Linked DNA regions of Arabidopsis thaliana. The protein of the gene in region 2 interacts with the protein of the main gene of each other region in a pairwise test. Each region holds a gene or a part of one and is shown on either strand. Other genes may lie near its edges. The genes, in order: CXIP2, MYB30 and AT3G03000.

Region 1 (4,319 bases), on a different chromosome or scaffold from region 2:
GTGTGATTTTCAGAATCAACACCTATCAACTTATTTTACAGTCTGACTTATATTTTTTTATTGTTTTGTTTTTATGTAATCGAATTTTTGAGACCGTTGACTTGTTGTTTTATTTGTTCATTTAATTTTTTTCAGTTTCCAAAAAAAAAATAAAAAGAAAATACAACCCATAAACTAACCTCGTCATCATCATATTTTTCAATTTTCATGAACGTTTGTTACTCATATAAGTTGTAACAAATGAATACCATAGAATATTTGTGTTATTTTTGAGATATTCATCCTACAAATGAGAATTTAGTACTTAAAATGAATATTTTGTGTTAGTTCACCCAAAGATTATGTCAAAGAAGAACAATAATTCTCTAATAAACGTGCTACAAGAATAAGAATGCTACTAAATTAATCAATTAAATCATTTAACGTAACAATAGTTACTTAACTCCATTTCCAATTATGTTTTGTTTCAACATATATATTTAAAGGGACAATTAGTGTAAAAAAAAAAAAAAAAAAATCATTGGTTAAATGACCACAAAATAGGTGAATTTAGTGGATGGTTATGCGTTTTAAACCTACTCTTAGATTTGTATAGAATCTGTAACCTTTTATAAATGCGGAAAACAGAAAACGAATCTGTAACTATGGAAGAGAATCCAAGCATGTTTTCTCTATAATGAATGTTTGGAGTTACAACTAGAAATAGAGAAGAAAATCGGATGAAACTAGTTCAAGATATTGGCAAGTTCACCATTTTCATACATTGAGGTCAAAATATCACATCCTCCTACAAGTTCTCCTTTCACAAATATCTGTGGAAACGTTGGCCAATTGCTGTAGTTCTTAAGCGTCTCCCTTAGCCCATGATTATACTCATCGTCAAGAACATCAACAGTTTCATAATCAACTCCTTGGCTTTCAAGAATCCCAACAACTCTCTGTGAGAATCCACATTGAGGAGCACTCCTTGATCCTTTTATGAAAGCTACCACTTTGCTCTCTTTCACTAAACGGTCAATCAGTTCCTCCAAAGGAACCGTGAGCTCAACATGGCGACCTGGAGTGAGACGGATATCGGATTTCTTCCTCGGAGTTTGTTTGACAAATGTGTTGTTCCCTGACTTATTCCCCGGCGGAACTTTTCCAGTTACTTTTATATGTTCTTCTATCCATAATTTCCATGCTTGTGTTAAAACTGCTTTATCTGGTTCTTCTACTATTCCAACCTAGCAAAACAATGATGAAATCAGTTATGGAAGATATATCAACAATACCAAAACTTGTCAATATCCATCACATGAGCATAAACAAAGTCCTATTGAGTCAATGGAGCAAATAAACACTAAAATAATCATAACATAAGTAAATCATAAGCAAAATATAAGCAATAAGTGACAAATAAATGATAGAAAGAGGAAAAATGTAAATTCTTAAGATAATAATACAACCCATAAAAATGTAAATTTCTCAAGAGCAATCTTTAGATTTGACTGTTGTAAGCTGATACAGTTAAGGATCATGGACACAAAAAAAACAAAAGCTCTTGTTATTAATTAAAAGAACCTGACACAGAATGGTAATCAAAATGCCAAAGAGAATCAGTTCTCTCCATTGGTACAAAACCGATATACCTCTCAAACCTCGACAAATCTCGCCAATGCGCACTGTCCTGTATCTATAGAGTAGAATTTCCCTAAAAAACTAATCAAAAGAAAATGCTAAAAAAACAAGTCCTAACTCCTAAGTAACATATACAAAATGAACTATTGATGCATCTCCTAATCATAATGTGTGGTAAGTGTTGTTAAAAGAACTCTTACCAACAACAGAACCAAGAACTTCATTAGCTCTAGTTTTGCAAACAATAGTGATCCTAATGATATGAAATACTATCTCTGGAACTAAAGTGATGAACTTTTGTAGTATTCATTTACCAAAACACTTCCCAAATCTATGAACAGTAATAAACAAAAGTCAACCACAACAAAACAAAGAATCCTTCGTTATAGTAACAGACATGCTACTCCTCTATATGAAATCATGGATAAGTACCTTAACGGAGCCACAAAGCTCCGGCACAGATTTGAGATGAGCAGAGACACTCGCAGCGATGTTCCGAGAAATTCCGACGAACTGAAGCTCGTCGCTCTTATCGTATACAGCGTATACACCGGAAGCGGACGGGATTGAATCAGCCTCTGTGATTGGAAGCAGCTCCGTCTCCGTTAGAGATTTGACGGCGGAGGCGATAAAGAAGGAACGACGACGAGACGGAGCTGTGTCACGGAGTGTGAAGGAGAGAGATGGGAAGGAGAAGGATGGTGTGAAGCGTGAATAGAGGGTGATCACAGGGGTATTTCGAGAAACATGTGGACGAACAACACGCGGAGAGGCTGAGGCGTGCAAGGAGGAAGAAATGGTGATTGCAGCCATTTTTGTCGGAGCTGAGAAAAGTTATCGGTGGAAAATGATGAGCTCTTTTATTTGACATAGGATTTTATCCATTGGGCCTGAATTGGACTGTTATTAAGGCCTTATGATACTTGGGTTTTAAATACCATAATTCGGAAAAGTGGGACCCGCTTTAGTTTCTTTTTTCTTACACATTCCATACTTCAGTCTGTTATGAAACAAAAGGAACATTTGTCTAGTTCACTTCATGATCAAGCCAAATCTACCAATGTGACCCAAAAACATGTGTTTAATCCGGTAAACAGATCTCAGTATGGTTTAAAACAGAACCAAAACAAACAAACAAAATTGGATTTCGAACATAATGCTATTTCTGATTAAAAATTGAATCTGAATCCAAGTTAAAACAGTATGTAATCCAAAAACTGAAATCCATTATATTAAAACCGGTTCTCAACTGGTCTCTTTGTATCTCATTATCTAAAAAGCTTTATAAAACAATAAGATTTTGGCACAGCCTAATCGCTTTCTCAGGGCACAGAGCCACTCATATTATTACCCTATCTACTAGGTTCCTGCTTTCGTATACTTCTCAAAATGCTCTCTTTGTTCCCCTGCAATCTGAAATTCAATCATTGACATCATAAGAAAATGTTGTAACAGAAGTGATAAGATCATTGAGTTGTTACATACATGTTGGATTCTTACGTCTTGCCATTTCTGATTGTGGTTTTTATGGAACAACTTCATCAGAGATAACAGCCTTGCCCAGATAAACCTGTTGCATCTCCTCTTTCCAGATCTGCATCAACTTCATATTTTTAATTTGTTTTCCTACAAAGAGAAATTAACTTGTGTGAAGAATAAATATATTTCATTCCATACCGTGTCACGGAACTCCACCCTTATGTGTGGCACGTTTGTTTTGTGAATGTCGTTTCCATCAGGTCCTCTTTTGTAGTAATCTTTTCCAATCCAGTGCGACTGGAACATCTCAACAAGTTAGTATTATTAGTAGATCGGAACAGAGACATCTTGTTCATTCATACTATGGGCCATGTTGATATAACAAGTACCTTCAGGGCGTGTGAGAAACCTGACTGGTACACTGAGTTACGAGCTATCTCGCACAGGTCACACGCACTCAGCTTCCAAACCTGAAAAATCCAGTTATCATCTTCAGTTAATACATAAATATAACTAAAACCTAGAAGAAAAGGATGTATAGAGAGAAATTTCATTGTTCTTCGTGTTTGCAATTGCAGAAGATCAGTATAAATCATTTAAAGGTAATAACTAATAAGACTTTTAAAAATATAATCAACTTTTCAAGGCCTATGATGTGTGGCAAGACTGCATAATGGAAAGATTATGACTTACTGATGCAGCTATGCTATACTCTTCCACGAGAGGTTCTTTAGTTAAGTGAATCTGAAGGGGGTCATCAGTAGACAGAGAAACATTGAGACCTCTTAAGAAAAACACAGGAAACGGGTTCCGGTGGTAATCTAGAAACAAAGAGTTGTTGCTCAGTGGTGACATGGCCAGACCAATCTGTCAAAAGAAATGTCTTCTTAGAACAGAAACAATAATACATATGTAATACATGCAGGCAGTCTCCACAAACCTGGGCGAGGTAGTACAGATACTGAAGCACAGGAGACTTTCGCAGATTGATTCCATGTGCGATGCTATGGCATGTTAGAAACGTAGCAGCCAAGTGGTCAATGTCACCAGCCTGAAATTTGTAGACATGTTAAAATTCCACTGAACTGTAACTGAAAACTGTTTATCTAGCACAAAGGAAGAAATAACACACCTCTCCAGAATGTGGTCGTAGCGTGATAGTAGTCATGCCCTTTGACTCTCGAAGCTGAAGAAAAATAGTTACTCCATATTACACAGTT
Region 2 (4,591 bases):
ACTTATTATGATGATTCATATCCTTACACTTGAATGCGTTATGTGAAATAATATATACTAGTAAAAGAAAATACCAAATCTATTACAATATATTATAAAGTATACATCTCCCATTTTTGTGGCCGTCGAATTTTCGTATTACATAATTACATTCAATAAAAATTCGGATTTGCAACTTGGTACTAAAATATTATGGCAAGGAGTGATAATTCAATGTAATGATGAACTTGTAAAAAAAAAATTAAAAAAATTTCAAATCCAAAAGATACGAATCTAACCTGTAAACAAAACAAAATTACAAAGGATTACAAACTTGGTTCGACTCTCGAAATTAAGTAGCAAATTCTTGTACCTCATTTCAATTTCACGGTACAAATGTTATTTTTCTTTGAATATAATTTAATATTTCTTTAAAAAATATATCTATATTTTTAATGGATAAAAATTACTTCTTAGTAAATAAAAATAATACAAATGAAAACAGTAAGATATCTACTTACCGTTTTACTAATGGTTAAACAGAAAACGGGACATTGTACGTGGAAAAAAAACATACTTAAGCAGTTTTGTTTATGATTAAAGAAAGACCATGCATTTTCAAAGTGGTTATGTAGACAAAAACCTTTTCGAGTTTCATTCCATATGTTTGATTAAACAGCCTGTTTAACACAACTTTATTATTATATCTAACGTAAATCATAAACTTTCCACAAAGTGAAAATTTCACACTTGTACAAATTGTCATTCAAAATTCCTACCTATATAAATAAATTATAGCACAACATTGACAAAAGAGAAGAAATTAAAGTAGTCTCGTGTCTCTTCTTCTTCCTTTTCTTCCGGCCTCGTGAAAACCAAATTGATTTCATCCTTTTTACTTGTTGACATTTACATACATACACATGTTCACATAAATAGATATAGTTGTATATGACTTGTGTCTATCAATCCAAAATCTTCATTATCTACTATACCAAATTCTCATACAAATATCTCTTAATCTCTTTTCACCACCTACGATATTGACATATATAACGTACAATTAATTTCATCAAAACTTAATGTGGCTGTATGACTTGTGTCTATCAAATCCAAAAATCTTCATTATCTTGTATACCAAATTCTCATACAAATATCTCTATATTTCTTTTCACCACCTACGATAACGACATATGTAACGTACAATTAATTCCATCTAAAACTATGTTTACTATAAACTCAAATTGTGGTCCATTAACACTAATCGCGAACCTTACCCGAATAAAACGTTCAACATCATGTATTCATATATGTTTATGTAACGTAATACATATAAACGCATATAAATCTATATATGGAGAAGTCGCTAACATCATGAATGACGTAGACCATCATGTAGTTTGACAATGGCCAAAGACCCACTGGTTCAATCCAAAACAGCAATTTTTTCTTTTCTTCTATATCTTAAAAAAAAAAACTATTCGTTTTGATAAAAAAACAACCAAAACAGCAAATCATGACGCAGAGAAAATCTCGTTCGTCAAAAGACCCTTTCATTAATTTCTATTATTAACAAAGCCTATGCAATACACATAAATGCAATAGCCACTATTCAATTCTTAAAATTATCGTAGCAATAAATCAAAAGTGAGAGAGGGAGATATCATATCATATATCATTATCATGTTATCATGCATGTCCCCATTATTCTTTATTTTTTAATAATAACATAAACCAATAAATTATTAAACCCAATAATATTTTTTTTGTTTGTGTTATTAGGGTTTTTGAAAGAAGCAAGCCCACATTGAATGCCACGCGGTTTTGTATGGAGGGTAGAGACTTTTCCTTTTGCCACACAGCTGACTTTGGAGGCTTTACCTCCACTTTTGTAGTTAATGCTTTACACATTTTTTATATACTTTTATTTATTATCTATACAATTTGAGAGACCCAAGAGTCCAAGACCAAGAGGGGTCAGCAAATTTCTCTTTCTCCTTTTATATATATATATAGAAGAAGAAGTGGACATAGACCTTTGTCGCCAAGCTTAACCATTAGATCCATTTCAGAGCTAAGCGTACTAATTAGTGTACTAAGGGTAGTGTGACTCATTACCACCTAAAGTAGTTTCAATTTTCTTCTATTTTTCTTGGCAAAGAGTTATAGTGGGAAACAAAGGGAGTGGTTAATAAAGAATTAATTAGTTAATTAAGGGAGTTCAAGATCATAATGGTGAGGCCTCCTTGTTGTGACAAAGGAGGAGTGAAGAAAGGGCCATGGACTCCTGAAGAAGATATCATTTTAGTCACTTACATCCAAGAACATGGTCCTGGTAATTGGAGAGCTGTTCCTACCAATACTGGTATGTATAATCTTCATTCATCATCTCTCCTCTCTACCTCTCTATAGATTTGTATGTAGATATTATTTGGATTTAATCTATGAGAGTGAGAGATAGACAAGGAATCAAATTGGTTTGGATTGAAATTTGTGTTCTCCAAATTGGTTTTGATCTTCATTTGGTTCTTCTTTAGGTCTTTAAGATTGTGGAATCAGCTTAATGAAAACATATGTAGAAATTAGGGTTTTGTTTATTGACCATGAAATTAAGATCTAATGCATGAGATCTTGTTATTTATATATTTTCTCATCGGTTCTCAATATTTGTTCGTTCTTATAAATTTTCAGGGCTGCTTAGATGCAGCAAGAGTTGTAGACTTAGATGGACAAACTATTTAAGGCCAGGAATCAAAAGAGGCAATTTCACAGAACATGAAGAAAAGATGATTGTTCATCTCCAAGCCCTCTTAGGAAATAGGTAAAAAATAATAATGACTTTTCAATTTCTCTAATTTTGTCTCTTCACACATTTTCTTTCGAAAATTAGAAGATTTGTTTTGATTTTTAATAGAGAGCATTTAATATTTGGTGTAGATGGGCTGCAATTGCGTCATATCTTCCACAAAGGACAGACAATGACATTAAGAACTATTGGAACACTCATTTGAAGAAGAAACTCAACAAAGTCAATCAAGATTCTCATCAAGAACTTGACCGTTCCTCGCTCTCATCTTCACCATCGTCTTCTTCTGCTAATTCCAACTCAAACATCTCAAGAGGCCAATGGGAAAGGCGACTTCAAACCGATATCCACTTGGCGAAAAAGGCTCTCTCTGAGGCTTTATCTCCTGCCGTTGCACCAATCATTACATCTACAGTGACAACAACGTCTTCCTCTGCTGAATCAAGACGCTCTACTTCCTCAGCTAGCGGGTTTCTTAGGACGCAAGAAACATCTACAACTTATGCCTCAAGCACCGAAAATATCGCGAAATTGCTCAAAGGGTGGGTGAAAAACTCGCCGAAGACTCAAAACTCCGCGGATCAAATCGCTTCTACAGAGGTAAAAGAAGTGATCAAGAGTGATGATGGGAAGGAGTGTGCAGGGGCATTTCAGTCATTTTCTGAGTTTGATCACTCATATCAACAGGCTGGTGTTTCACCTGATCATGAGACCAAACCAGACATAACTGGATGCTGCAGTAACCAAAGTCAATGGTCTTTGTTTGAGAAGTGGTTGTTTGAGGATTCTGGTGGACAGATTGGTGATATTCTATTGGATGAAAACACTAATTTCTTCTGAAGAGTTTGCTTTAATCACATGGTTCTAATTTTAGGATCCTCATCTCTATTTTTTTTTTTGGGTTTTCCAAATTAACTCGCTTAGATTATCGTGAGATAAATCAGTAATAATTTTATTTATTTTCCCTCTTTAATTTACAATTAATGATGGGGTTGTTTTATATATGGCCCTGTGAATTCTGAAGGGGCCTGAAAAATGTCCACCCAATGATTTTAGTAGTATTGGTGTAAAATCCTATATCTATTTTTTATTTATTAAAATGTTGTTATTGCTTGATTTTTCTTTTGCTTTGTAACTTGTAAGTATGATTTACTTTTGAGATGTTAACCTAAAAGTAATTCTGTTACAAATTAAACATACACTGACAAAAAAATTACATATATATATTGGAGAATGACCAAAAAATGCTCGCTCATATCCGGATTAATTAGTCCTAATGTGTAGTAGCCTAGTAAGTGTGGGATATAGAATTAATAATCAAATACTTACAACTTGCACTTAATTGTCAATTTATTTTCCTTAAATTAACCGTTAACTCACTAAGGAAAACACTTAACATTTATTTTAGAGTGTCAAATGGCGCCGCTCAATAAATGAAATCTTAGATTTAAAGATAGCCTTACTATTGGTGAATTTGAAAGACCTACTAATAAAGAAAATAGTACTAGTAAAGAAAAATTAACGAAATATTTATTGCATGAAATAAATAGGGCCGACAAGGTTTAAAGAAACTAATTATAAAAAGATAAATATAAATTTTAAAAACGGGATGGATTGGCACTATAAATATTGAAAGTGATGAAGAATTAAAGTTTGACTTTCTTTCTTGTGACCTTGTGAGTTGTGTGACTTACATCACATAGTTACTAAGTATGAAGAAGTCAATATCGCCATTAATTTAGCTTCTCCTTTGGTTTTTAAGATATTGCCACTTGTTATGCCGATGGTAAGAAACTTAGAAAGAAA
Region 3 (3,318 bases), about 10 Mb from region 2:
GATGTTCCAAATTCTAACATTTCAGACAATGGGAGCTCCTCAAATGGATCACCTGAAGTTACATTGGCAGATGTTTCATCCATTCCTGCAGGCTTCTATCCTGCAATGAAGTACCACGAGCCTTGTGAAACAAATCAAGTCATGGAGACCAATTTGCCTTTTTCTCAAGGTGATCTCTTACCTCCAACGCAAGGAGCAGCAGCTTCTGGGAGCTCAAGTTCGGATCTTGTTGGATGCGAGACAGATAATGGAGAGTGTTTGGATCCAATAATGGCTGTTTTGGATGGCGCACTCGAACTAGAAGCTGATACCTTAAATGAGTTGCTTCCTGAAGTCCAAGATTCTTTTTGGGAACAGTTCATTGGTGAGAGCCCAGTGATTGGTGAGACAGATGAGTTAATCTCAGGATCAGTGGAAAATGAACTGATATTGGAGCAACTAGAGTTACAATCAACCCTGAGTAATGTGTGGAGCAAGAATCAACAAATGAACCATCTTACTGAACAGATGGGACTTCTCACATCAGATGCTCTCAGAAAATGAGATTGCCACAGGCCACAATCTTTCCTCACGAGGTAATCAGTCTATCTATATTGATATGTTATAAACCACACACTTTCCAAAATTTAAATTTTGTGCAAAACCAAACCCCTCGTCTTTGTCTTGTTATCGCAGATGGGTTAAGATTTTGTGGAGCCGCAACAACAAAAAGAATATGACCAAAGGAGGTACTATGTATGTATGTATCAAACTGTTGTAACTCTAATTCTTGTCAATGTATAATAAAATAAGAGAAATATTGCCTTAAAAGATTTTTGCATTGCAATATCTTTGTTTGTTACTGACAGAATGAAAAGGAGATGCTTCAAAGTGAGAGATATTCTTCTGTTCTTGTGTATGTCTTTAGAGATCCTTGTTTATTTTTGTTACATTAAGTGCAAAAATTGGCATTTTGGTTAACCTGTGGCCAAATCTTACCTGCTTTAGTGTTTTTTTATCAGTCCTTCACTTTTAGTTTCTTGAGTAAAACTAATGTTCCAATTTCGTCTAAAGGAAATCATCTAAAGAGAGAGTAAAAAGGAAGAACGTGTGTCGTGTGGATATAGTAACAAAGTGGTTTAAAAGGATCAAGTCATTGATTACACGGAATCAAAGTGTATGTACATGCATATGTTAAGCTCTGAAACTGCAACCGAACCAGATCCATTTGTCGTTTGTATCAATCTTAAACTTGCTTTTAACATTACATACAACATTACATATGATATTACCATTAGTTGTAATTTATATAGCTTATATGATATATATCTATTTCTGAAAACTATATAAATATTTTACATATGATAAATTTCACAGATATCTCATGGATATATTGCTTTAAAAGAGGATATGAACATTAATAAACATGTAATTTGTTAAAAGAATTGATAAAGACCATATATTAAGGATAAAATAGTTACTCTGAAAGAAAATTTGAACATTCATGCATGCAATATATAACGTATGTCGAACACTCGATTCATATATAGCTAACAAATGTCGAAAATATTATCTTCTTTAAAATACGAATCAAAGCTATAACATTTTTCTATTGTCAAGAAATCTTTTGGCATCCATTTCTACAAACCAGTTCCGGTGAATTAACGCTTAGCACGACTGTTTTCCCTCCACCGAACAACCTTTGACCGTTCCAATAATTGGTTCAATTAATAATTTAATTTAAAAAATTTCGTATTCCATCCACAATCATTTATTTGATTTAAATAAAATAAAATTTTTATTCTCTTGCTCATTAATAAGAAAATCAAAATCTTTACTCGTTTGAAATTTGTAATCCATTACCTGTCATCGTTGACTTGTCAAGAAGAAACAAATCAACTCTAAAAAGAAAAATGTTGTTCATCGAAATCGAAGCTTGACAGTATTCAAAATCAGATTCGAGATGAGCTGCGACGGAGGCAAACCGGCGCCGGCGAAACTAGGCGACGAACAACTAGCGGAGCTCCGGGAGATATTCCGATCATTTGACCAGAACAAGGATGGAAGTTTGACGGAGCTCGAGTTAGGCTCACTTCTAAGATCTCTCGGTCTAAAGCCGAGTCAAGACCAACTCGACACATTGATCCAGAAAGCAGATCGGAATAACAACGGACTGGTCGAGTTCTCCGAGTTCGTCGCCCTCGTCGAGCCAGATCTGGTCAAGTGTCCTTACACGGATGATCAGCTTAAAGCCATCTTTAGAATGTTTGACCGCGATGGAAACGGTTACATAACGGCGGCGGAGTTAGCCCATTCGATGGCGAAGCTAGGTCACGCGTTGACGGCGGAGGAGTTAACGGGAATGATCAAAGAAGCTGATCGAGACGGCGATGGTTGTATTGATTTCCAAGAGTTTGTTCAAGCGATTACTTCAGCTGCGTTTGATAATGCTTGGGGTTGAAGAAAGAAAGGTATATATATACATAGTTTGAAATACTTGTGTTTTGTTTTTTTGGCTTCATCCTCAAATCAAAGACATTTGGAAGTATATGTGTGTAGGTGCGATTCCATGGAAAATGTGTGTTATTTATTGTTTCATATTATTCTTTGATGAAATTTTGATAGCTTGAAGAGAAAGCTATCATTGTTGGTTTTAGGGCAAGAAAACTTTGCTATGCGTGTGAGTCACTTCTCCACCCGTCGCTTTAGCCACTTTAGTTTATGGAGATAAAGGTCTCTCAATATGCAAAACAAAAGAAAGCATCAAAACTGACTCTTTATCTTTATATGTATGGGGGATAATCAGCAAATATCGTATGATTATGATCTTCTAGTAAGACAATTGCACAAATTCATGTAAATTCGAAAACGATCCCCAATAATGGTTAAGGAGAAGGGAAAACAAATTTGTCACCGAGATATGTCAAATGATTTGTGAATCCAAGAGTTATTACATAGATTTAGCCCACATGTCTTCTTCAACCAGTCCTGCACGAGTTACATAGATTTAGCCCACATGTTGCTAACAACTAACAATCTTTGAGTGTATACGCATTCATTGACTATGCTAAATGCTAGAACTCAGAATAAACAAACATTTGAAATGGATATTACAAGCAGTATTCCCGGAAATATATAGTAATTGGTAGCACGATATACAGTGACATCAATACTATTTTAGCAAACGACCACTAACTATAGCAAGAAGTGAAACACTTATGCTGTATATTTTGATTAGCTGTTGCGCAGGAATTAGACTCTCCTTAGGACAAAATCAGTCAAAATCAATTCGTAGCTTAAACGCTTCAGTTTATAGATACAATAGACAAAACAAAGGAG

The links.
Region 1: the proteins of MYB30 (region 2) and CXIP2 interact in a two-hybrid assay, tested with the Arabidopsis thaliana proteins (one large-scale study listed by BioGRID).
Region 3: the proteins of MYB30 (region 2) and AT3G03000 interact in a two-hybrid assay, tested with the Arabidopsis thaliana proteins (one large-scale study listed by BioGRID).

What each region holds. Positions count from the first base shown.
Region 1 is NC_003071.7:16,030,622-16,034,940, forward strand, and holds CXIP2 (CAX-interacting protein 2), read right to left. Parts: upstream 2,549-4,319; 5' UTR 2,434-2,548; coding exon 2,053-2,433; intron 1,227-2,052; coding exon 726-1,226; 3' UTR 564-725; downstream 1-563. Other genes in the region: FAC1 (AMP deaminase, putative / myoadenylate deaminase), read right to left, coding at 3,146-3,214, 3,298-3,396, 3,489-3,569, 3,793-3,966, 4,040-4,150, 4,232-4,285. UniProt on the Arabidopsis thaliana protein: May only reduce GSH-thiol disulfides, but not protein disulfides. Participates probably to the maturation of iron-sulfur proteins and to the regulation of the redox state of the BOLA proteins.
Region 2 is NC_003074.8:10,909,232-10,913,822, forward strand, and holds MYB30 (myb domain protein 30), read left to right. Parts: upstream 1-1,900; 5' UTR 1,901-2,211; coding exon 2,212-2,344; exon of another isoform or gene 2,345-2,670; coding exon 2,671-2,800; intron 2,801-2,916; coding exon 2,917-3,625; 3' UTR 3,626-3,959; downstream 3,960-4,591.
Region 3 is NC_003074.8:675,446-678,763, forward strand, and holds AT3G03000 (EF hand calcium-binding protein family), read left to right. Parts: upstream 1-1,794; 5' UTR 1,795-1,942; coding exon 1,943-2,440; 3' UTR 2,441-2,735; downstream 2,736-3,318. Other genes in the region: HSFA1E (heat shock transcription factor A1E), read left to right, coding at 1-543. UniProt on the Arabidopsis thaliana protein: Potential calcium sensor that modulates ion selectivity of NHX1.